Bombyx mori: one gene and its partners. The main gene of each other region encodes a partner of the protein of the gene in region 3 in a complex. Links are inferred from orthologs where the notes say so. Each region holds a gene or a part of one and is shown on either strand. Other genes may lie near its edges. The genes, in order: protein crooked neck, armadillo repeat-containing protein 7, BUD13 homolog, pleiotropic regulator 1, pre-mRNA-splicing factor ATP-dependent RNA helicase DHX16, splicing factor 3B subunit 5 and 116 kDa U5 small nuclear ribonucleoprotein component.

Region 1 (4,265 bases), on a different chromosome or scaffold from region 3:
AGTGTCTATGGTCTTCCTGTTTAATTTAATTTCTTATTAAATACGTTACATTTGTTCCATTTCATTCTTCGTACAATATTTTCAGCCTTAGTTACAAAATATTTGCTGTATGGCCTAGTTACTTTTGTCTGTCCAATAAACGAACTAAACATTCTCTGTGGTTCGATGGCTTAGTTTACATATTACGTGTATTATCTGTGCTATTTATCATAGATACCTACCTACTTGGCTTAAAAAACTTTGTTTCGAAGCCACTAGAAATTTATAAAAAAAAATCTACCTACTACCTACATATCACTACTAAAGATGGGTTAATACCGATATTTGTCAATATTAGCGAATACGAATATATTCATGATGTAATATTATAATAACTTAACTAATGCGTGAATATATCCTGATATCTTAATATACTTCGATAAAACGGGTAAACGAGTTAACCGAGTACGGTATTCGTGAAATAAGTTAATAATCATAGATAATACACATAAATTAGTTATTAAATTAATATAAATAGTATACTGTATCTAGGAATTTGATTTCATACTAAATATTTTACAAGTAATATTATGTACATTAATATGAATATTATTATTAAACCAGAATTTGGTCAACATTGTACATTAATATAAACAACAAGTTAGTAATATTATTTATTTCTTATTGGTGCATAAAAACATCAGCTTTTTTACTTTTTCTACCGAATGACCGGTACGTCGCTCAGAAATGAGTATTCCAGATTTCGAAAAAATCCTCTGATACGGTACTGAGGTGGCTAGTAGGTACACAACAGTTATATTAATAGTATAATCCATGAACCGTTTGGTTAGAAAGTCATTTCGATTCAAAAATCAAACTTTTATTTATAGTTTGAGAAGTTCTTAGAAGATAATTAACTACTACCACAAAAATATATTGTCATCATAATTTATTACATATAAACATTTAATGAAAATAAAGCTCACCGATTTTATTCCAATAAATGTGGAAATGCACTATTTTGTCTTGAGTCGAATCTTTAGTACAAACATAAAAAGTAATGCATTTAAAAATTCCCACTGGCATCTTTGACATGTAAAAAGTGCAATACAAAATAGTCCTTAAACTCATAGCGAAATATAGTTATTTTCATTGCTCAGTATATAAACATGTAGATTATCTCACTTACTCTTAGCGCATGCAGTGCATTGATATGAATGTGATAAACAGATATCCGCGAGACACGTACGGCGTATGTCAGTATATTTTCGTGTGATAGATATTTCGCTAGGAGTAACAGTGTTCTGTGGATAGATACAACCCGACTGATGTGAGCTGGCTATTATTATGAATAAGTGAATACGGAATATTAGCATATCAGAATTCGACGGATTACCGATAGACGAATACAAGCTGTATTACGAATATCTTAGTGAATGCTAATATATCGGTATCACCCTTAACCACTACCTACCGTATTCACTTCTCTTAAAAATGTGTATAATCTATGCTTCTCATTTTGACAATAAATAAAAAAAAAACCTGAAGATTTCCTTTCCTGTACTTAGCTGTTTATTGTATGTAATCAAATTAAATTTAGGTTAAACTGAACTAAAAAATTATAAACTGTGCAGAACGTAGAACTTAACATGGACAGCAAGACAACAAAAATGCCGAAAGTGGCAAAGGTACGAAAAAAGTGTTTGATGGTATTGTTGAATAATATTACTCCAATTTTAACATGGATCTCACGATTTTTAGGTGAAGAATAAAGCACCAGCAGAAATCCAAATAACAGCTGAACAATTACTTAGGGAAGCCAAAGAACGAGACCTTGAGATATTACCACCGCCACCTAAACAGAAAATATCTGATCCTGAGGAACTTCGAGACTACCAACATCGTAAACGTAAAGCATTTGAGGACAACATAAGAAAGAACAGACTTGTAAGTAAATTCAATTTATTAGTCGCTTACAATGTATAAATGACTGTTTTTCCTATTAATGTAATTGTTTCTCAGTTTTAAGACCATCCAATGCTTAGTTTTACTAGCTGATAGAGTTCACCAAATTAATTTCATTAATTGATTTCGTGCCATTACGATCCTTTGAACAATATAGGTTTCATGCTGTTTCCACAATAAGAAGGGTACTAAACAATTTCTACTCAGAGCATTACTGACGAAAACCAGATGAGGATACTTTTATTTAGTAGTATTTCTTCAAGAAAACAACAAATAATATAATAATATCGAATTTTAGTTTAATGGATGCTTTGTTTTTGTTTTCAGGTTATTGGGAACTGGCTTAAATATGCACAATGGGAAGAATCACAAAAGCAAATCCAAAGAGCTCGTTCAATATATGAGCGTGCTTTGGATGTGGATCACAGAAATGTTACCTTATGGTGAGAGCTATCATTACAATTAACAATTTTATTTGAAAAATTATTAACTTATGTGCTCTTGGTACTGCCAGTGTTTAAACCATATGACTATTTTAAAAAATGTTTGAGAAATCTGTGGTGTTAATTTTTTTTTGCATTCTTGGCTCATCTGATAGTAATTGTTAGTCACACTACTGAGTACTCTTTGTAAGCCTCATTTGAACAAGGACATATTGTTGGATCACTCAAGACATGGGCTTTAGAACAAAATTCATGTCACAGTGAAGAAAAAAATTAATTCTTAAAGAGTTACCATACAAAGATCAGCTTATAATAGAACATATAAAAAAGATTCCTATGTCACTCTGTTCACATTACAATTTTATTTGGTTAGTAAACTTGTAGACAATTGTGGACGAAATGTTAAGATGTTTGATATACTTGTAATGACCAATACAACTATACTAGAGTTCATAGCCTTTGTGCTACCTAAAGCCCAATATATTTAAGGAAATACATACCCGATATGAAGAAATTTCATAAGTAAATAAGAACAAAGTGTCATTACAAAATTGATACTCTATTAATGTATTGTGAACTGGCATGTAATATATCATCCTGCCTATTTCAACAGTTATGCATTTGGTTTGAATTGTCCAACAGTTGTTTTATAAAGGAATTGAGACTTCAATCTCAAATTGATGCCTATTTAGTCCAAGAGCCACTTATTTAACAAATAAAACAATCTGTACTTTGAAAAATCTGTAAAAGTCATGGACTTTCTTGGTAAATTTCTTACAGTTTTAACTGTTAAATTTGCGTCACTCTTCAATTATCCACACTACCTTAACTACCTGTACTTTAGGCTGTTATACCACACCAAAATATTCTCAGCGTATCATGGGTTTTAGGCTGAAGTATACTGAAATGGAAATGAGGAACAGACAGGTAAACCATGCCCGTAATCTATGGGACAGAGCTGTTACAATTCTGCCAAGAGTATCTCAGTTTTGGTACAAATATACTTACATGGAGGAAATGTTGGAAAATGTAGCTGGAGCAAGACAGGTGATATTTTTTATACATGTACAATTTCTCGTATAATGATAATAGTCACTGACTGTAACTGAAACAAGGTTTCTAATTTACTTTTGTTTCACAGGTATTTGAACGTTGGATGGAATGGCATCCAGATGAGCAAGCTTGGCAAACATACATAAACTTTGAATTGAGGTACAAAGAACTTGAACGGGCTAGACAAATCTATGAACAGTTTGTTATGGTGCATCCAGATGTAAAGAATTGGATAAAATATGCAAAATTTGAAGAAAACCATGGTTTCATAAATGGCTCTAGGACAGTTTTTGAGAGAGCTGTTGAATTCTTTGGTGATGAAGAATTAGATGAAAGACTGTTTATAGCGTTTGCCAAATTTGAAGAAAATCAAAAAGAACATGACAGAGCAAGAGTGATTTACAAATATGCTCTGGATCATGTCCCAAAAGACAGAAATAAAGAACTTTATAAAGCTTATACTATTCATGAAAAGAAGTATGGTGATAGATCTGGCATTGAGGATGTAATAGTAAATAAGAGAAAGTATATGTATGAACAGGAAGTTATAGAGAATCCCACAAATTATGATGCATGGTTTGATTATATTAGATTAGTGGAGAATGAGGGTAATTTAGATGACATAAGAGACACATATGAGAGAGCAATTGCAAATATCCCTCCTTCAAAGGACAAACAATTTTGGAGGCGTTATATTTACTTGTGGATTAATTACGCTTTATATGAAGAGTTAGAAGCAGAAGATTTAGATCGAACAAGACAAGTTTACAGAACCTGTTTAGAATTAATTCCTCATAAGATATTTACTTTCTCAAAAATATGGCT
Region 2 (4,183 bases), on a different chromosome or scaffold from region 3:
ATTTTATCACCAGCTTTAAAAGCTGTGTTGCTGAAGGATGTGGTATGAATCTTGCATATTTTTTGATAATTTTTATTGTTCACAATAATATAGGGGAATCTATTCGAGAGCATCTTGTTCATTATGAAGTTCGTTTATGTAACTATTCAGGTGGTCTTACACACATTTTGTAGAAAAACTGTAGCTAAATTGACGATCCTCAAATCCTGCGTAGTTTTCAAATTTGACATCATATTTATAACGTCTTGATCAGTTATTTCAGTTTTTGTTTTCTCATTGTACATATATATCAATGTCGTTATTGTATCAGCTACAGTGTCTGTATCACTTGACTTCAATAATCGAAACAAAGGTTTTAATCCCAAGTGAGTTAAAATATAGTCTGCATTCAGTGGATCTGAAAAGTGATAATTCTTACATAAACATGTGAAATGTGAAATAGCAATATGATTTTATATAGTGTCAAATTTTTAAAGATGATTCTAGCGTTTTTCTAAATTTGGGATTTTACATTGCTTAGATGGGTGGACGAGCTCACAGCCCACCTGAAGTTAAGTGGTTGCCGGAGCTCATAGACATCTACAACGTAAATGCCACCACCCACCTTGTAATGAGTTCTAAGGTCTCAGTATAGTTACAATGGCTGCCTCACCCTTCAAACCGAAACGCATTACTGCTTCACGGCTGAAATAGGCAAGGTGGTAGTACCTACCCGTGCGGACTCACAATAGGTACCAGTAATTACGCAAATTATAATTTTGTGGGTTTCATTTTTATTAAGCGATGTTATTTCTTCACTGTGGAAGTCAATCGTCAACATTTGTTAAGTACGTATTTCATTAGAAAATTTGGTACCCGCCAGATACCCGCCAGATACCCGCCGGATTCGAACACCAATGCATCGCAAGATACGCATGCACCAAACGGAGTATCCTTTAGACCACAACGACTTCAAAATGTTTGATTCAAAATGACTGATAAATCTTTAGTATTACTAATTTCTTTTTTAGCAATAATTTATTTCGGGTCTATTGCTATTCTATTGCTAGTCTATTCCTGCGGGATCTTCCCGGGGATTGGATCCCGTCCTATTGTCAGGACGGGTACCGGCGACGGCGAGCCTGCGGCGCGCATTGTGCGGTACCGTAGGTTTCGTGGAGTCGGAGTAGTGGAGCTCGATGGGGTTTAGTCGGTAGTCGGGTCTATTGCTATTTTATTAATGCATTTGCTATTTTATTCTTTCTTAATGAAAATATTATTGAGAATCAGAATCAAATTTTTTTTACTTTTTAATTACTACTTTCCTTACTCTTCTAATTATTATCTTGAATACTGTCAGTAGTGTGGTGGCAGCATGTGTTGGTACTACTGTCAGATATAACATTAATAAACCATTTCAGTCTAATGGGCTTAAGACTTTCCAATATAATAAAGAGAGTTCCAATTTAATGGTATGTAGGGACAGTTACACAATATTGAGGGGAAAATGGCTATTTGGTATAAGCAGCATTGCACTTAAAACATTTACAAGAAAACGGTGCAAGCTCACTACATATTATTGGGCACTTTCAATTTTAATTTACTTTAAAATGCACTAAATCACATCTTATCAACACTCACAAATATTCAAATAGTTCAAGTATTTAATTAAATTTAAATAGAGCTACTTTGATAATCTTAAATAAATTATTGTACATAATAATATAAAGAATACTTTTATTGAACAGGTTCTTTCTTATAAGAGTTTTCATAAAAAAATTGACAGTTTAATTGAACTTATAATAATTTGAGAAAACTATTCATCTATTGTTATCAACAGCTTACCTAAACACAAATTGCAGACACCCGCAATGGCATACCTTATTAATCTACCAATAGTTTCATTCTTCAGCACATACAAGAATATATCTAGTACTCCAACGTCTCTAATGTATGAGTAGTTCACAGGATCATATGCAAAATTTGCCAAATTGGCTAAAACTTGCAACTTTGCTTCTGTAAGGAAAAATAACATTAACAAATTGCAGTGCCATGGAGAGAGCCGTGGAGAGACAGAGATAGAGAGAGATAGATTACTTTACTACACACCAAAACACAATCATCATTGTGTCACACAATCATCTCTTCTAAACAACCTTTTTTATCTAGAGAAATTGTGAAAAAGATCCAACAGGTATGTTATTAATTATTCAGAAACAGAGCAAACCTTCATGCACATTACTTAATAATGAAGAAAAAAAACTAATGTATGATACAATAAATATAAATATAAAATATAAATATTAAAATCACTATAATCATATCCCATAAGTCACATACACAATTTAATTTTATTAAAACGAAAAATACCATTATCCAAACGCAATAGGGCTAGCTGTACTGTGAGTACTCTTTAGCATTAAGGTCGCCCTTGTTTATGCAATAGTTTTCTAACTATCTAAGATTTTTAAAAGTAAAAACTTTAATGGCAATTGTGAAAGTTCATACGTAAATCGCATTAAAATTAATTAAATAGATATTGCATGTATATTTTATTACCATAGGAACTTGAGTGTAAATATTCGTCGACTAATAATGACAAATATGCCTCGCGATCAGTACCATCTTTTGGGGTACGTTTTTGTAAGTGTGCTCTTGAACTGAACATTAAATTATAGTAACTTAAAAGGCTATAGAAAAAATCCTACTTTGACTGGACCACTTTCATTAAAGTAAATACACATTCCTTATTTTTCCTTTGATTCAATAATTCAATTGACACGCCATGACAGTTTTCTCTGTTGTTTTTGACATTTGACAGGTGGCACAATGACATGCGGAAGGGAACATTTTATCTACCATGACATGGGGTAAATTGGGATCCTGGGGTAAATTGGGACAAACCTGCGGAAGATTCTCAAAGTACCTGTAGCACGGAATCTACCTAATTTTGTTTATGTTAATATTTGTCAATGTATAGAAGAAAAACCAAGTTAACTATAGAAGTACTAAATATGAGTTAAGTTGGTCCCAAAAATTCGTCAAATTAAATTGAAAATAGTGGTTGAAAAGTGCGTTTTAAAACAGCTTAAAGAACTTTTAAAAAAAGTAATATTATCGTTGTTTTTTCAATAAGATCACAGTTTATATAAGTTTTTAATACACCTGGAAATACCACAACAAACGGTAAGTTGCAATATTCTTATTTTAAATACAATATTTCGACAAAATAAAAAATGTATATTTTTTCTTTCCTTTTTGGGGAAAATTGGGACGTTTGTAGGGTAATTTGGAACGAGACTGGAAAAATTAGGGACGAGAAAACACAAAATTGGAACGCCAAAAGACAAAATAGGGATGGCTTGTTAGGGTTGTCACTGATATCTTATAATAGATTTTTTAGCCTATACTATCACTTAATTGCGTGATGTAAAGAAGGTTAATATGTTTATCAGTTAGTTTATGTAAGTATTATAGGTAAAAGAAAAGTATATATATAATTACTTTTTTTTCGCGACATTTACCTTGTAACATCTGCCCGGTCGTATGTTCTTTATAGCAATAAAAAAAAAAAAAAGTTAAAAGAACTCAAACGAATCAAAACTTTTGTTATTTCATAATCTATTCACGCGTCGAATCATGATTTTGTTAACATTCACAACGCACACACAAATAAAAACAGGCCTCAGATTTTAAATGTAACATTAATTAAAAATCCGAGATATCCAATTATGAGTGAGTGAATTAATTGAGTTTAGTTATTTCGCTTAGAAAGAATTTCTTTTATTTTTGTTATTATTGGCAGTAATCAGATAAAGCCGGTTTTTTATCTTATTCACCTGATATCTTACTCTTGCTCAAAGATTATTTTGAAAATGTTGATTAAATAAAATTGTATTATTGCATTTCCAGTCCTTTTGTTTTCTATTTTTTATTCTATTTTATGATTTTGTTTCAGAGTTGTGATTTTTAAGGAAATTAAATAATAATTTTCTAAAATATAACATGCACATACTTTTTTTGATCATTGTATTGTTGATTATCATTCACGTCACATCGCTTCAGAATAGAAACCAGCTTAATTTACACTATGTTGTGTATTGTGCTTAAATTATGGATTGTATTCATCATTTCGGTCCATATAAATAATTATATGGCACCTACCTATATATCGCAGTACTGCGAGTTGACAACCCTTACAAAT
Region 3 (4,245 bases):
AAATTTTTGTATAAAAATATGTTCCATGAACAATGAATGCTCACATATTTATTTTGACTTTAACTATGTAACTTTTTTTTATTACTTAGATGGGTGGACGAGCTCACAGCCCACCTGAAGTTAAGTGGTAACTGGAGCCCATAGACATCTACAAGCAAATGCGCTACCCACCTTGTGATACGAGTTTTAAGGTCTCAGTATAGTTATAACGGCTGCCCTACCCTTCAGACCGAAACGCGTTACTGCTTCACAGCAGAAATAGGCAGGATGGTGGTGGTACCTACCAGCGCGGACTCATAAGAGGTCCTACCGCCAGTGATTACGCAAATTATAATTTTGCGGGTTTGATTTTTATTACACGATGTTATTCCTTCATGGTGGAAGTCAATCGTGAACATTTGTTAAGTACTAAAGTAATAGAGAATAAGTAATAAAGTAAGATTAAGTAACAAAGATTACTTATAATTTTAAATTAGATTGCCGTAGATATGTGTAATATTCTTTTTTTTTATTATTTAAATTAAATTTTATATTAATAATTCTAACCTTTCCTTGACACAACTTGAGCATTCCTGCCTGAAACATCATCTTTCATTTTCTTAAACATCTCCTCTTCTTTCTTTCTAAAGTCATCGTTTTCTTGCCTCAGCTGCTTGGCATCTTGTAATCCTGCTTTCTTTCCTTCCAAAGTCTTCTCCATTTTTTTATGGGTTGGAGGGGGACTGTCATTCTTGTTAGACCTATCTTTCCTAGGAGGAGAAAGATCAGAATCGCTATTATTTCTTTTTGAACTTCTGTCTTTTCTTTTACGTTCAGAGTCATGCCTTCTGTAGTTATCTATATTCTTAAGCTTTCGCGGTGGTGATAAATCCGAACCACTGTCTTTTGTGTCATTCCTCCTGTGAGGTTTTTTGCTTACATTCCTATAGGACTTGTTTTCTGCATATCTTATATTTTTACGGGGAGGAGATAAATCTGAATCACTATCATTCGTTTTTTTTCTTAGTGGAACATTTCTACAGGGAGATTCTGAGATTTGTCTCTTACTCTTTCTTGGGGGAGACATATCAGAATCTGAATTTGATCTGTTAGATCTTTTGTCATACCTCGAACCATAATCTGTATCATTATACTTTTTTAACTGGCTCTGTCTGTTATCGTGACCAAATTTAGATTTCTCTGGGGATTTTTTTCGCCTCGGAGGTGAAACTGAGTTAAGTCTATTTCGTTTTGAATCATCTTTTCTAGATTTTCTGGGAGATGTCACATCATATCTTTTTTGAATTTTCATATCTTGTCCTGAAGAAATCTTATTCATTTGGGTTTTCCTTAGAGGAGACAAATCAGAGCTCTTAGATCTTCTGTGGTTATTAGCTCTTAAAGACTTTGGTGACTTATCCTTCTCATTGTCCCAACGACTTGGTTTTTTAAGTTTTTCAGCTCTCTGACCCTCATGCTTTCTAGGTGGTGAAAGATCAGAATCATATTCAGTAGTTCTTTTAGGAGAATTATTCCTTTTCACTGGATTCCCTCTTCTTGGTGGGCTGAAGTCGCTGTCACTGTTGTGTTTTTTTTTGCTTTTAGCTCTTCCAGACGGCGAAGCTTCTGAAACATTTGGCTTATCATCTTCGGAATCACTGTACATTTTTCCAAAGACCAATTCGTTTTCTTTCTCGGTTTCCTTTACATCTTTCTTTATCTCTTCAATTTGTAGTTTGCTGTTGAATCCGTCATCCTGTAACGATTTTCGGTGTCTGTTATAATCGATGAATAAGATTTCTATTAGAATGGTTTTTTAATATGTTGAAGGCTTGACAGTAAAAATAAAGTAATAAACATGTGTACCTGATTCACGATCTTCCATTTAGAACTAGTGGTGAATTGTTCCTGTTTTTTTATATGCTCTGGTCTTTCATCGATGATACCTGCTACTTGCGGTGCGTCATCACCTTCATCATACACATCTAACTCGTCACCCTCAAGGGGTCGTAGCTTCGATAGGTCAATGTCATCGTCTATTATTTTGAACCTAAAATTAGATGAGAAAATACATTTTTTATATTCACTTTAGTGTTTCAACAGGTAAGGTTATTTGTCATCTGTATCTTTCACTAATGAAAGAATTTTTTTTTGTTCTTTATTTGGAACTGACGTTTGCGTCTTTGAAGGAAGATGAGCCGAGAGTGATGATATAGTTAATGTACTGTTCGAACCTTATTAGAACAACATGCTTAAGCAACCAAAAAATTCATCCATACTGAATGAAAATATTGACAGGAATAAGAAATTTGAAATTAATTCGCATTTGTTATGTATTTCATTATACAAATAATCAATACTTACTTAAAATACAATAACTTGTAAGGAGAATACGTGAAAATGTACATGATTTTTTTTTCAATTTTAAAATGCATTTTAGTGTGACGACAGCACTTTAATATAATGCCAAAATACAATTGTAAATATCAAAACGGTAGATATTTAAGGTATTTTTTTTAGAAATAGTAAATTCTTTCACGTTTAATTTCAATTATTGTTCACATTGTCTACAGTTGACTTACCCTTTTCCTTTTAGCACTTTTTTTTTCTTTTTCTTTTTATCGCCCGATGGACCAGCCAGGTATTTTTGCAAGTACGCTTTCTGGTTTACAGTCGTAGCCATTATTAAATAAAATTTCAAATTATTTAATTTAGAAAATTAATTTGACGAACTTTATATTATTATGTGTATTATCTATGGTATCAATTTAGACAAACACAAATGTCACAAATCAACATTCTTTCAAATGTTTCAAAGCCATAATACACTTTTTTTAAAGGGATTTTATGTCCTGGTAACTAAGACTTTTGGGTCATGTCTTATTTTATATTTAAATTCTTATTTTTATGAAAAATGATTTAGGGAGTCAAATGAAATAAAATGAAATGAAGATGATTAATTTGAGACATTAATCAACTGAGATGAAATGAAATAAATTGAGATAAGATAACATGGGATGAAATATAATCTCAGTAAAATGGTGGTTATTTACTGAGACTTCTTTAGTGGGCTTTTTGGAGGATCCCTAGAAGCTACGTCCAGCGGCTTTGTTTCATTTGTGCACTTTCACAGATATTAAACCATTAATAATAATAATAATAATAATAATAATGTTTTTATTTCAAGTATCCATGACTCATATAAATTGTTAATAAGACTTAGACCTATGTTAGTATTTATATTTACATCACAATGAATTACTGTGGTAACATCCCATGGGAGATGGCACCACAGCGACCCATGTATATACAGTCCAGCCTGCTTGCGATCATGCTCAGGATACTGTTGGAGCTGGCCCTCACTCTGTTTACCAGAGATGCACACCTTTTACGCATGGTAGCGTAAAAACAATCTATGTGCGCGTCTGCAAACATCCCTGATGCGCTACAAAAGCGGGGCAGCACCACCAGCACCCTAAACGCGTTATTGTATTGAACACGGAGAGCATTGTACGATCTTTGAGTATATCCAGCCCACAAGCTGCACGTGTAAAAGTTAGTACAGTAGGCCCTAAAGAGGGTGACCTTGACTTTAAGTGAACACCGTGCAAACCTGCGAGCTATCATGTTTGCTCTAACCGACAACGCTCTCCGCTCTCGTTCAATATCTTCATCATCTTTGAGATCAGGGGTCAACACATGGCCGAGATATTTAAATTTATAAACTCTTGTCAATGGCGTTCCGTTGAGTACTACGGGAGGTATTTTATCATGCGTCCCACCCCTGGTCTCAAAGACCATGATCTCCGACTTTTTACAGTTGTACACCAAACCGTGTGATTTGGCGTATCCCTCACACAAAGAAACAAGTTGCCTTAGGCCACAGATAGACGCGCTCAGCAGCACCATATCGTCTGCGTAGCTGATGTTGTTTACGCACACCCCGTCTATGAAACAACCAATCCTGGTCCTACTGAGCTCGCCGATCAGCTCGTTCATATACAGGTTGAAGAGCGTAGGCGAACTCAACCCGCCTTGTCTCACCCCGCACTCCAACCTATATGGAAGAGACAAAGCCCCAGCCCATCGCACATTGTTGATCTGGTTCCCATACCAAAACTTTAGAATGTTATTTATTTCCGTGGGTAGTTTAATATTTTCCAACTTTTTCCACAAGAGGTTTTTTTAATAAATCACCGTTATTACACATTTAAACCCGAAACAACAAAATAAAACAAATCACAACTTCACTCCTCGCGTTCCCGC
Region 4 (4,254 bases), on a different chromosome or scaffold from region 3:
GTGGCTCCAACGCATTATACGGTGGCCCGGCTCTGGATTCACGAGTGCTGTGGGCGGCCCTCACGCCGAGAGGCACGAGACACTTTGTCGCCGACACTTACCCGCACGACGATACGGAGGACCACCACTACGAGTGCGTCGAACCCCCTCTCTACAAACTCGGCCCACCCGAAGACTTGGCCATCACCCGTCACTTCAATGTTGAATACGAAGACCCGGCGCCCCTGATAGAAAATTACAGCGATAGAGCTGAGGACTACTTCCGTAACGGTATCGAGACGCTGCGCAGAACGAGACCGCTCGTGTCATCGCCAACCAGGATCGAACGCCCCAACTTGCCTCCTCTGAACCTTCAGCCGAGGACGCTGCGCCGCGCGCCCCACTCCCGCCGCGTTAGCGACGCTAATAATCCAGAGAAATCGGCCATCTGAACCGAGAGTGGCGCGGTATTCTCCGTCGCCGATACAACTGAAATCGATTACGATTGGCAGTCGATTGAAAATTCGAACGTTGACCGTCTCGTTTAACAACCGTACTATTGACTCTTGTTTCACTGAGTGTAATGCTTTTTTAGTTTTGAAAAATCGTCGTCGAAATTTCTGGTAGTTCAGTGATTAACATTCGTTCATAAATACTAAAATGCTCTTTTACGGTAATTGTGTGTTTATGTAAATATTGTGTATGCACTTATTAAGTATTCCAAGTCTGTGTGTTGAACAGTACAATGTGCTTAGTACCATTTGTATGGAGTTGGAACAGCGCCTTTAGCGGCAAACGCAGAGTAACTGCCCCAGCTCCATACAATTTTGAGTAACTTTTACACGATCGAGAAGTTAAAACAACTCGCACCAGGCACACTGTACAATGTAAATAATACTTTGGAGGATGTTTATTGTATGTAATTTAACATAACAAATAGCTATCATTAAATCAATAAATATTCGAAAACTAGTGAGCAGCTGTATCTAGTCTAGTTTCTAGTCTGTAAGCACAATTTCTAGTCATGTTCGTACCTACTTGTGAATTTAGAGGTAAATATAGATATAGTCCACTGTGTATTTTATTGAAAATCAATTCCACAATTTTCTTCGCAATGAATTTTTATGCTCGAATTTTGTACTTATGAATAAAATCGACGTTGTGTAAACAGTGTTTTTTTCATTTCTAGGAGCAAACTCTAATTAAATTATTGATAAAATTCTGAGCCAAATCCGTACTTTCTATCCGTCACAACAAGCATAAACAACAAACAATAAATTTTTTCTTCAAATACCCTTTAGTATTTCAGCTCAATAAGAGGAATTTAAAATGTTTGTTTTAAAACAATTAAAATGGTAATTTCAAAAAATCATAATAATTATGTTTGTTGCAGGCTAATCGAGATTTGCATTCATTTGCCCAAATTTTTTATTATCTGTACAGTGACACTTGACAGTGACGCTGCTCATACCGTCCATTTGACGTTTGTTTGACGTAGGATTTATTTTGTAGGAAAGTTGTTGCTGTTTGTTGTCGGGTATTTCTTGGTCTCGACACCGTTAAAACCAAAAAGCTTTTCGTAAGAATCATAAGGAATATGCATTAATTAAAAATAAAATTGAATTTAAATGCTGATTTAATATTACAAGTTAATAGTATTTCGTATTCTTTAAGTAATTTTAGACATTAATTAATAACTTCATAATGTCTGAGGACGTGATTAAACATTCTGTACACACTTTAGTGTTTCGATCGTTGAAAAGATCGCACGATATGTTCCTAGCTAATCAAGGAATGTTGCCGCCAATCGACGATAAAGCGTAAGTAAAACAGAATAATATTATTTGAGGTTAGTTTAATACAAGTCCTAATGGAAATAATCGATGAGCTATTTCAAAGATCGGTACAATAGACAAACTAAGCGATTTGTTGTTCCGTATCAAAAAATTTCTGCTAAACCTTTAAAACTTTCTACTGTACTGGAGAAAACCTTTATGGGAGCAGACAATGTTGTCAAGGTAAATAAATTAGAGGAAAATGTCACGTTATGTATAACTACATAAAACACTAGAGTAGATAATTATTATTTATAATTTTACATTAACAGAGAGAAAGTACTGAAATTGGTTAAAGCAAGAGATAGTTACGGACAAGTCATGGGTGCAGTGCGGAAGGCTCAGGCCCTGAAACAACAAGAGTCTGTCACCTGTAGACCTGAAACTCCACTGACCACAGGTAAAAACAATTAACAAACTCCTATATACGGTTAAGCGCTTAGGCTCAGGATAAATAAAACTTCCACTGAAGTACATATTAAAACTCTATTTAAAACTAAGAACACTTACCAAACACTTTACAATTCGTAATTCACTTCTTCCGCTTCGCTTCAGGTGATCCGTTTGCTGTTTCGCTTTGAGTAGATCCTTTTAATAACTGCTTTCATGTCATCTCTGCAACGCTTTTATAGTCAATACGATATCTCTACAAAAATCGAGAACATTCCAGAAATATGGATCAAATACAGAAACAAAAAAAAAATTATTCATTTTTATGGAATTTTTTTTACAACAAAGTTGCATTTTCGTTATGATAAAAAAACAGCAAGAATTTAGCTGTGGACCTCATGAGTTCTATGCTCATTACATTCAATAAAAAATCGGTCCAATACTCCTTGATATTGCAATGAAATAAATCGAATGTTTTCTTTAGCAGAAACAGTGGAAACTGCACCTTTGCCGTCGGAAGGGGCTGTTGTCCCATACTCTGGACCAACACCTTCACCGTCACCAGCTCCCCCCTCGGGGGCTTTAACTGTACCACGGAAACCGCCGTCTATGCCCAAACCAAAATGGCACCCACCCTGGAAATTAATGCGTGTTATATCAGGTCATCTGGGTTGGGTTCGATGTGTTGCTGTAGAACCTGGAAATGAGTGGTTTGCTACCGGTAAGTAAAATTATAGAAACCACATACAGAGCAAACTAATGGCATCTAATATGCCAACATTTAACTAATATATTTAATCCTTTTAGTATAAATTAGAAGAAGGATATGTGGTAAGAATTATAATTACAAATTTGTCAATCTTAAAAATTTTATTAATATAAAGTTTGATTTTTACATATTAAATATACTTATTTATAAGACTTTTTTATCAATACAACACAAAACATAAACTTTGACAGTTAGATAATCAATATATTGTATTTGTGTAGACAAGCTGTTGTCCTATGAACGGTTGAAAAAATAAACTTGATTTATGATTAAAGTTACTTCATTTTTCTGTTATAATGAACTTTTAGCACAACCATTACAATAAAACCAATCCTAAGGAATTAATCTGCATGATGGTTTTGATATTTCAGGTGCCGCTGACAGAGTGATAAAAGTATGGGATTTAGCAAGTGGGAAACTAAAAGTATCTCTCACTGGACATGTGAGTACAGTAAGAGGTAGGTGCGCACACTTTTTGTATTCATGCAAAAATCAATGCTTGGTTTTCAGATTTTGAATAATGAACGCATTTTTCTTTTATTGCCCAGACAAGCACACTGCCCACCTGATGGTGAGTGGTTACCGTCGCCCAGGAACTTCAGTAATGCCATGGGCTTAGCCAAGCCGCTGCCTACTAAATTAGTAATTTTTTTAGCATCATCAGCCTGCGGCAGTCTGCTGCTGGACATAAGCCTCCCCAAAGCTCGCCACTAAACCCAATCTTCGGTTCCTTAATTAATTTAGTAATTTTTTATTTTAGTAATAGTAGACATTTTTAATTTTTTCAAACTTTTGCTGCTATGTATATTACAGAATTACATAACAAGTTCTGATCATAATTTTCACATTAACACAGTTCTGGATATTTCATCATGTTGTACGCACAGAGACCGTAGGTTGAGTCTATGTTAATTGTGAAAATCATGATCTAAGAATCCATCAAGTACCAGTATGTGTAATATGAATATATTCTATTTCAGGAGTGGTAGTGTCACCAAGACATCCATATTTATTCAGCTGCGGTGAGGACAGACAGGTGAAGTGCTGGGACTTAGAATATAACAAAGTGAGTTATTGACCTATAAATAACAAAAAAATATAGGTTAAATGATATGTCTTTAAATATATGTAAAGAAAACTTTTATTATTTAAAACTATTTAGATTTTAAAAAGGATTTTTCTTCAGTGTTATTCAGTGTCATGGAGTGAAGTGAAAAAGAGAGTTCAGTTTTGTATAGTTTATTATTAATAATATGTACTGTTTACTCTTTAATTGAGGTT
Region 5 (3,500 bases), on a different chromosome or scaffold from region 3:
TTGATTTGTAATAATGAGGCGCTACCTCCAGTAGCCATTTGCTCTCAATTTCGGTGACTTGTCTCATAAATTCTTTAGATGTAAATACAAGCTCATGGTAAATCACCCATCGTGGAAGGTCTTCAAATAGAGCACTATTAGGATGTATCATAACTGTCTGAAAGCAATAAATATATTTGGATAGATTTATAAGAAAAAGAAAAAAACATTATTTTAACTATCAAGATTTTAAGTTTCGTTACCTGATTATGTTTTACAGTTTTATAATGACCACCTTTTGAAAATTTTGCTATATGATAGAAATAACCAGACGTTATAGCCTTTCTTATATTAGTATCATCAGATAAACTTGTAACCATTTCAATTTCTACCCTTTCCATCAGGCTGACTAATTGTTCACGAACATCTCGAGCTCGTTTCATCGATCTATACTGCACGAAGTTTTCATAACACCACTGCACCGAATAATCTGAAGCAACCCACTGATTGTATAAGTTCATAATTGTCAGATGATCTCCTTTGTGATGAAAGAAATTTTTTCTTGCTGTATCTGCATGGATTATTTTATCTTTAGGCCGGTAGAAGACGGAGCTATTTACTGATAGCATTGCTGCAATTGTGACAACCTCTTCAGAACATTTATATCTGTAAGACAAGAAAAATGTGAGAATTAAAGTGATTTTGAGACAATCTGAACTGCTTTTAATTAGAGGGTATGAGTGGACGCGTTCGCATTTATCAGCTACTAACTACTTCTTCACCCACAATCTGTAAGTCTGTAGTATAAAGTGTGGAATAAAAGTTTTGTTGATTTGATTGTGTTGTACATTAGTTATAATAAAATTATCGATATCTCCACAACAGCTCTATCACTAGTCATTATACAAATTTATAAAATTTACCAGGTTATTACACAATGTAAATCCTTCATTCCAGATGCGAATGTTGAGATAGATGTGTGGAGTGACAAGAATGGATAAGATGAGGAATAAGTATATCAGAGGAAGTATGAAAGTAACCCCGGTAATTAACAAATTAAAAAGCGGATAGTTAGCGTGGTATGGACGTGTGATGCGTAGAGAGAAGATGCATGTGACTAGGAGATGTACGGAATTGGTAGTGCAAGGTAGAGAGGAAAGAGGTCGATCGAAGAAGACGGATGGAGTGTGTGAATGACGATATGAGAGAGAGAGAGAGTAGTGAGTGTTGAGCTGTTGGCTGATAGTAAGATGCAGAAAAAGAAGAAGTTAATCCTTCATTATGAAAGTTAGTTATGAGAGAATGACTTATGTTTACATTACTTACTTTTCACTAGCTAACAACATTTTCGCGAGCATGGGGTCGGTAGGAAATTCAGCCATCCTTCTGCCTGCTTTTGTTAACTCTCCATGATGATTAAGTGCACCCAGAGCGTAAAGTTGTTCTAAAGCCAAAACTAATGTTTCATGCGGTGGTGGATCCAAAAAATCAAAATGTATTAGATCATTGATGCCTAAAGCTTTTAAAGTGAGAACTGCATTTCCTAAATTTATTCTCTGAATTTCTGGTACAGTATTATCTTCTAATTCATATTTATATGCCCAGGCTGTGTACAATCTAAAACATTTTCCAGGAGCAACCCTTCCGGCTCGTCCAGCTCGTTGATTTGCTGATGCTTTAGAAATGGGAACAACAATTAAACTTTCCATGCCAGTCTTGGAATTGAAGTTGTTTTGTTTGGCAAAACCTGGGTCTATTACGTATATAATATTATCAATTGTCAATGAAGTTTCAGCTATATTTGTAGCAAGAACGACTTTTCTAGCTCCTTCAGGAGTTTGTTCAAAGATTTTAGCTTGCATGTCACTAGGCAAATTGGCATATACTGGTAATATTAAAAGCTCGCGCAGTTTTTTGCCTATACGCTTCGTCCTTTCTTGTAACATTTCAACACATGTTTCAATCTCTTCTTGTCCTGTTAAAAAAACCAATATATCACCAAGAGGTTGTGTGGCATGAATCTGTAATACTGATACAACACAAGCATCTACATAATCTGCTTCGGGTGCCTTTGTGTAATAGATGTCCACAGGAAATCTCCTTCCCGGGATTCTAAAAATTGGGGCATCTTCAAAGAATGTTGAAAATTTCTCAGCATCCAATGTTGCGCTGGATATAAGCAATTTTAAATCAGGTCTAAATCTGGTTATATCTTTTACAAGACCAAATAATATATCTGTATGTAAGGTACGTTCATGAGCTTCATCAATGATCATTACACTGTATGAGGCTAGATCAGGTTCTGATAGAAACTCTCTATGAAGAGTTCCATCTGTCATGTACTTTATTACTGTTCTATCAGATGTGCAATCTTCAAATCTTATACTATAACCAACTTCATTTCCCAGTTTTACGTTCATTTCTTGTGCAACTCTTGCAGCAACTGACATAGCAGCTACTCTCCTAGGTTGTGTACACCCAATTTTTTTCCCATCTTTAGTGAAACCAGCTTCATGGAGATATTGAGGTATTTGTGTTGTTTTGCCAGATCCTGTCTCACCTTCTACAATTAGAATTTGATAATTTTGTATGGCTTCAATAAGTGATTGTTTAAACGCATATATTGGAAGTGATTTTTTTGTTTCTTCAATGGTCATTCGAATTTTTTGATATTCTGATATTTCTGACTTTTCCTTTTTGTCTTCAGAACCTTCCATTTTAAGAGCCTGTATGAAATCAATTTGTTCATCCAGTAATAAATCATATTCATTTGTAGCTTTAGCATCTTTTGCACCAAATTTAAAGAAAGCAGATTTAATTTGTTCTTGTTCCCATTTTTGCTGTTCAGAATGTGGCAACCTCTCATTTTCATCAACTTCAACATATTCACCTGTAATATACAATTAGTAGGTTATATACAAGATGTACAAGCAAATAATTTATTACTGATTACAATTTTTTAATTATTTTCTTTTGTTTTGTTGATTTGTAAATTTTGAAATTTTAAAATGAAAGTATTGGATGAGAAATAAACAATATAGAAATTTAAGACCAAACTGAATATTTGAAACTTCACAATTAAACTCTATATGATTTACCAAACAACATCATTAATAAAATGAAAATATTTCAGAAATTTTGTTCATAGCTTGAAAAACTTTTTGTCCATAATTTAAACCTTCATTTTATTAACGTCAGCTAAGTTTTTTTCATCCCATAATTTGAAATACATAATTAAATATTTTACATAATTAAATTTCTCTTAAGGTTTGAAGCTTTGTTTAGTTCTTCATTTGAAAGGTTTCTTTGTAATTTTGGATAATTACCTTTTTCCCCTTTCCCCAAGTCCCGAGGCATATGATATCTTTGAACATTTTCTAACTCTCTTGCTTTTTCATGTTCTTTAGCTAATTGTAATAAAGTTTTCTTGTGTTCCCTTTCTTCTTTTTCTCTTTTTGTTAGGCTATAAAGACAAATGATATGACACATTTTAAACTATTAATTTTGTTTTAACCAAATGC
Region 6 (2,323 bases), on a different chromosome or scaffold from region 3:
AGTTTATTACTTATCTATACATAAAACGCACCAAAACTTTGTGGAGTTATTCGTGAAACTTTGAAAATGTCGCAAAGAAAAAGAAAACAAATTAATATTGAAGAAAAATCACGTATTTTGTAAATATATTTTTCCAATAATTCCCTATCGATTTGTTTGTACTTGCACGATACACATTAAACATTACCGGTTGTTACGACTATCGGTTTTTACGACTGAATATGAGCAGTCCCTTCGATGTCGTTATAACAGATTTTGACTGTATATATATAAGGCTAAATGGAAATCAAAACTGATTTCTTTGAGATAAAACAATATGAAACAAGTTTGTATATAAAAATAAGATTGTCAAACATTTGACCATTGAACCAATTCTAAACTATAAACTATACCTGTTATTAAAATTTGTAGTTTTTATTGATAATAGTTGAGTTTTTGGTGGTACTATTTGAATAGACTAATTGTGTTTGTTAAAGGTTATAGAAATGAAAACAAACTGCTCGAATTTATGTCATGATAAGGGATTCAAAGTCAAATAATAAGTAAATTAGCTTAATTCTATTTTTAAAATCGAAGCGTTTAATCTTCAGGCTTTTCTGGCGGTGGGCCGCATGGTTGAAGCATTCGTTCCATCAAATTGAATTTTACGCGCGCTTTAGATTCATTTTCTACGATCGCAAAGTAACTCAACAAATCCGGATGACCCATGTAACTGCAGCAAGAGTCGCGATGTTGGTTCATAAGCCATTCATATTTTGTAGTGTCGGCGTGGCCTGTGCCTATATATTTGCTCTGTAGATGTTCAAGTTGACTGTGAATGTTGTATCTTTCACCCATTTTATTCTGTAAATTATTTTAAGGTTATAGTTCGAGTTAGTAATGTCATTAATGTAAAATTAAATGGTTATAAAATAAATAAAACGTTTCTAATAAAATATACACACTTACTTTAAAGGCAAGATGCTTGTTGAAATCGTATAGACTCTAAAGTTTATATTCTAATTCAGCTAATATTGATATCACGTAGCAGCCCAAAACAAAGAGTATTCATAGACAATACATAAATTGCAGTGCAGATTACTGCAGACACGGCGTATCTAAACCATAGATACAATACTTAACGTTGAAATCTAAACACCAAAGGTTGTGCACAGTTTTTTTTATTATTTCTTTCACTGCATCTTTCACAGTAAGTTCTTAGATCTGTTTACATATCATCTGGTTTTGAAATAAGCTTTCATCTTTTAACGAAGCTTGGGAAGAGCCCCGGCAGTGGAATTAGTCTTAGTCTATGCTTCTGACGTTGACGTTCATCAGAGACGATCGCCACTTATTATTAAGTGGGACAGATACTCGTTTGCCGATAATGCTGACCAAAACAGTTGAGTACAGCTGTGTTGTCACATTTTCCTATACTTGTGGACTTTTAGAGATACTAAACGGTTACAATTTTTCATTAATAGCACGTTTCAACAAACAAAAAAACAGTAAGTTAACAAAATTAACTATTAACTACACTTCTACAGCTCACGCAACAAAGTTATTAAAGCAAAGAGGTTAATAAAAGATAAAATAAAAAGTAAAAAAAGGTAAAGGAAGGATAGAAGTCGTCGTGGTCTAACGGATAGGACGTCCAGTGCATTCGTGTTGAGCGATGCACCGGTGTTCGAATCTCAGGAGGGTACCAATTTTTCTAATGAAATACATACTAAACAAATGTTCACGATTGACTTCCACGGTGAAGGAATAACATCGTGTAATAAAAATGAACCCCGCAAAATTATATTTTGCGTAATTACTGGTGGCAGGACCTCTTGTGAGTCCGCGCGGGTGGGGACCACCACCCTGCCTATTTCTGCCGTGAAGCAGTAATGCGTTTCGGTTTGAAGGGTGGGGCAGCCGTTGTAACTAAACTTGAGACCTTAGAACTTACTATATCTCAAGGTGGGTGGCGCATTTACGTTGTGGATGTCTATGGGCTCCAGTAACCACTTAACACCAGGTGGGCTGTGAGCTCGTCCACCCACCAAAGCAATAAAAAAAAACCCGTGAGATATACATAATTACAACCACGCTAGATCAGCTGCATCTATCATGGAATCTTAAGCTCATCATCATCATCATCATCATCATCAACAGCCCACAGTCGTCCACTGCTGGACATAAGCCTCTCCCAATCCACACCACTGAGCCCGGTCTGCGGTTCTCCTCATCCACTTATCTTAAGCTCACAGGTATTTTAATTAAGTGTATTTTCTATGCTCACAGTTACATATCAACTTAGAGTACTTACAAAGTACACTCTAGGGTACGTTGATATCGT
Region 7 (2,962 bases), on a different chromosome or scaffold from region 3:
ACTGCCGATTCTGAACTATGTTTCTACTGTTAGGCACCTACCGATAAATTTGATAAACGTGAACATGACAAAATAGTAAAACAATTTGAATAATGAATACATTTTTTTTTACTAATTTAGATTAGCCGAGAAACTTATGGCTTAACTACCTAACATTAGTATGTTGTTGGATTTATTTTGTGAGTAGTATAATCGCTAGGATAAATCGTTAAAATGCGACAAATATTAACATGTCACCTCTGCCGGCTTTAACGTTTGGCAATTTTATAAAGTACCGCGCACTCCCTCTAGGTTTAATGGATTTAATAAAAAATATATAGAATGAATAGTATAACGCCAAAAGTTTCACATACAACTGCAAATGTTTTTTAGTTTTGATTTATAATAATTAATCTATGTATTACATACTATAATAATATGTTTTCACTACATATATATTATGTTATTGTTCAGTAATTTTATCAAAACTTTGCACGTAAAATGAAAAACAAATACCAAAATAATTGTTTGGTAAATTTTATTAAATCAGAAATATAATTAATGAAGTTGTACGTCTTGTCTTGCCAGCTCCAACAACATAGGATCGTCGAAAAACTTATTGATGGACACGTCCTCACTGAGCCCCTTGCGTCGACGGGTCTTGATCATGAACTCTCTGGCTAAATGCGTCGCTGGCTGTGGTTCCAATGGCCTAAATAAATAAAAAATGAATTAAATATGATTTTATCATTCACTGCTGATACAGATTCGTTTATAATAAATATCATTATCTTCGTCAATACACTGACCCGGCAGACTTCGTAGTGCCTCAATCGATAAATAAAAGACCTAAGCTTTTGTATAAAATAAACTTAAAATAAACAAAACGAATCCGTCCGACGGGGGACACATGAAAAAGAAAACATTTTTTTTATTTATATTTAATTCCGAGCATTTATTATTTATCTACCTTTTAAACCTTCTCTGGGCTTCCACAAATAATTCAAGACCAAAATTAGCCAAATCGGTCCAGCCGTTCTCGAGTTTTAGCGAGACTAACGAACAGGAATTCATTTTTATAAATTAGATAGATAAAACAATCCAAACTAGACAACTCACCTGATAACAATACTCTTGTCGAGCGGGTCGCCGGGCACGATCTGCCAGTGATGGAAGACCTGCAGACAGAAGGCCTGGCCCTGCGTGTGCGTGCGCAGGTCGGTCTCGAAGCCGAACGAGTCTATGGCCGGGACGAACGCTTTGATGGTGTAGAGCGGCGACCCGGGGACCGGAGCGTCCTGGGTCACGTGACCTGCGCGACGAGCCACAGACTCAGTCGGTTTTTTCTACCTAAGCTGATAGTCTTGTGAGACCATATCAGCGTCACCGGGCGAGTGGGTGAGCTCACGGGGCTCAAACCTGACGTTGTTGCTAACACGATCCCTAACAAGAGCTGTGCTTCGTAGAATCAACCACCGGATCGGAAACGCGACCCACTAAGAAGATCCGGCGAGAAACTCAGTGGGCTGTGTCTGTGGGTTAATTTACTCGCCGAGCCCTTCGTCGCAAGCGACGGGTTCGACGAAAACCCCGATGACCGGCTCAGTCGGTGGAATCAACAGCACTATATATTACAACATGTATATAATGTGGGACGGTAGAGTGAAATCTAGTGGACTTTCATACCAAAATTTTTTATTTTCCAAAAAAAAACCCTCCTTACCTCGTCATGTCATTCGATGACTGTAATTTTCATTATTCTTATTTTAAAATAATTCTAATGTGTCAGTGTGAACCTGATCAAAAAAAATACCGATCTTCCTACATATACATAATATGTATGTATATATTTAAAGGAAAAACCGCATTTGCGCTAAGGTCGCCGCACTGTGCGGGCACAATTGCGGATACGTGCGCAGTGAGTAGGAGTGGGTAATATCGGTTTTGCCGCGTATCGAATCGTATCTATATATCGAGGATCAATATCGGATATTGAATCTATATATTTTCTGAATCTATATATTGATGGATGCTGGTAGATTTTCTCGATTCATGATATTTGAGATTTGAAACGATACGCCGATATAATATCGTAGTATTTAAGTCAACGTTATACGGTTGGTTTTCTGATATCAATTTATAATATGATCTTAAAGTAATAAAAAGAACATGAAAATAAAAATATCAAAAAAACTTTCCTTCATGCTTTTACCAGGCTTAGGACTGGCTACATTATTTTCAGTTTTTAGTATTTTGTGTCTTAATTTAAAATTACAAAATATACCAAAAGAGTGTAGATTTCAAAAGTTTAATACAAACACAAGAAATAAACTCAATTATTTGGATTTAACTAAAAATAGAAAAATGTGTACTTTAAAAATCAAACACAAAAAACTTTGAAGTATTTATAAACACTTGTCCAAAAATTCTAGTTCAAGGTCAAAGCGCGTGAAATTAAATTCAACGATGCAAATAGGCTATACTGCATTCAAGTTAGGGTCGAAAGTTGAAACTTCTTTCCTTAATTGTATCCTGCTGATACGCTTAGAATAATCTACAGACATATGGACTTAAATATAAGGTTTACAATTGTATGGATAATGCCTGTTTCTGTTTCATTCATCACATGATATCGCTATCGTGCGCTCACTCACTCTGGCCGATTCGATACGAACCAAACGAATATTGCTGATATTAACGAATCGGTACGATATGCCGATGCGCATCACATCGAGCAATATCGTGTATCGGCTGATATCGAAATATAGATTTCGATTCACGAATCGGTCCGATATGGCGATGCGCATCACATCGAGCAATATCGTGTATCGGCTGATATCGATATATAGATTTCGTGCGGGGCGATATCGGATTCAACGATATTGCTGCGATATATAGATATTGAATCTATATACGATTTATATCACCCACTCCTAGCAGTGAGCAACCTGGTTGTAATCAGAATTATAACAATCTTGTTGCC

Evidence for each region.
Region 1: BUD13 homolog (region 3) and protein crooked neck share a complex: the UniProt entries of both Homo sapiens proteins name them as parts of the minor spliceosome. The link is inferred for Bombyx mori from reciprocal best matches to the Homo sapiens genes BUD13 and CRNKL1.
Region 2: BUD13 homolog (region 3) and armadillo repeat-containing protein 7 share a complex: the UniProt entries of both Homo sapiens proteins name them as parts of the minor spliceosome. The link is inferred for Bombyx mori from reciprocal best matches to the Homo sapiens genes BUD13 and ARMC7.
Region 4: BUD13 homolog (region 3) and pleiotropic regulator 1 share a complex: the UniProt entries of both Homo sapiens proteins name them as parts of the minor spliceosome. The link is inferred for Bombyx mori from reciprocal best matches to the Homo sapiens genes BUD13 and PLRG1.
Region 5: BUD13 homolog (region 3) and pre-mRNA-splicing factor ATP-dependent RNA helicase DHX16 share a complex: the UniProt entries of both Homo sapiens proteins name them as parts of the minor spliceosome. The link is inferred for Bombyx mori from reciprocal best matches to the Homo sapiens genes BUD13 and DHX16.
Region 6: BUD13 homolog (region 3) and splicing factor 3B subunit 5 share a complex: the UniProt entries of both Homo sapiens proteins name them as parts of the minor spliceosome. The link is inferred for Bombyx mori from reciprocal best matches to the Homo sapiens genes BUD13 and SF3B5.
Region 7: BUD13 homolog (region 3) and 116 kDa U5 small nuclear ribonucleoprotein component share a complex: the UniProt entries of both Homo sapiens proteins name them as parts of the minor spliceosome. The link is inferred for Bombyx mori from reciprocal best matches to the Homo sapiens genes BUD13 and EFTUD2.

The regions. Positions count from the first base shown.
Region 1 is NC_085124.1:5,696,892-5,701,156, forward strand, and holds the start of protein crooked neck, read left to right. Parts: upstream 1-1,465; 5' UTR 1,466-1,628; coding exon 1,629-1,667; intron 1,668-1,740; coding exon 1,741-1,926; intron 1,927-2,271; coding exon 2,272-2,387; intron 2,388-3,277; coding exon 3,278-3,434; intron 3,435-3,528; coding exon 3,529-4,265. UniProt on the Homo sapiens protein: Involved in pre-mRNA splicing process. As a component of the minor spliceosome, involved in the splicing of U12-type introns in pre-mRNAs.
Region 2 is NC_085121.1:11,321,589-11,325,771, reverse strand, and holds the start of armadillo repeat-containing protein 7, read right to left. Parts: upstream 2,801-4,183; 5' UTR 2,648-2,800; coding exon 2,539-2,647; intron 1,996-2,538; coding exon 1,825-1,995; intron 398-1,824; coding exon 147-397; 3' UTR 1-146. UniProt on the Homo sapiens protein: As a component of the minor spliceosome, involved in the splicing of U12-type introns in pre-mRNAs.
Region 3 is NC_085130.1:5,568,591-5,572,835, reverse strand, and holds the start of BUD13 homolog, read right to left. Parts: upstream 2,801-4,245; 5' UTR 2,663-2,800; coding exon 2,562-2,662; intron 2,030-2,561; coding exon 1,846-2,029; intron 1,736-1,845; coding exon 547-1,735; intron 1-546. UniProt on the Homo sapiens protein: Involved in pre-mRNA splicing as component of the activated spliceosome. As a component of the minor spliceosome, involved in the splicing of U12-type introns in pre-mRNAs.
Region 4 is NC_085129.1:1,617,528-1,621,781, reverse strand, and holds the start of pleiotropic regulator 1, read left to right. Parts: upstream 1-1,454; 5' UTR 1,455-1,683; coding exon 1,684-1,799; intron 1,800-2,086; coding exon 2,087-2,214; intron 2,215-2,688; coding exon 2,689-2,925; intron 2,926-3,344; coding exon 3,345-3,431; intron 3,432-3,953; coding exon 3,954-4,039; intron 4,040-4,254. Other genes in the region: uncharacterized protein LOC101740918, read left to right, coding at 1-431. UniProt on the Homo sapiens protein: Involved in pre-mRNA splicing as component of the spliceosome. Component of the PRP19-CDC5L complex that forms an integral part of the spliceosome and is required for activating pre-mRNA splicing.
Region 5 is NC_085110.1:11,482,215-11,485,714, forward strand, and holds part of pre-mRNA-splicing factor ATP-dependent RNA helicase DHX16, read right to left. Parts: intron 3,443-3,500; coding exon 3,306-3,442; intron 2,870-3,305; coding exon 1,306-2,869; intron 646-1,305; coding exon 243-645; intron 158-242; coding exon 1-157. UniProt on the Homo sapiens protein: Required for pre-mRNA splicing as a component of the spliceosome. Contributes to pre-mRNA splicing after spliceosome formation and prior to the first transesterification reaction.
Region 6 is NC_085126.1:5,965,730-5,968,052, forward strand, and holds splicing factor 3B subunit 5, read right to left. Parts: upstream 1,109-2,323; 5' UTR 949-1,108; intron 844-948; 5' UTR 838-843; coding exon 580-837; 3' UTR 501-579; downstream 1-500. UniProt on the Homo sapiens protein: Component of the 17S U2 SnRNP complex of the spliceosome, a large ribonucleoprotein complex that removes introns from transcribed pre-mRNAs.
Region 7 is NC_085121.1:1,473,641-1,476,602, forward strand, and holds the end of 116 kDa U5 small nuclear ribonucleoprotein component, read right to left. Parts: intron 1,292-2,962; coding exon 1,099-1,291; intron 692-1,098; coding exon 538-691; 3' UTR 501-537; downstream 1-500. UniProt on the Homo sapiens protein: Required for pre-mRNA splicing as component of the spliceosome, including pre-catalytic, catalytic and post-catalytic spliceosomal complexes. Component of the U5 snRNP and the U4/U6-U5 tri-snRNP complex, a building block of the spliceosome.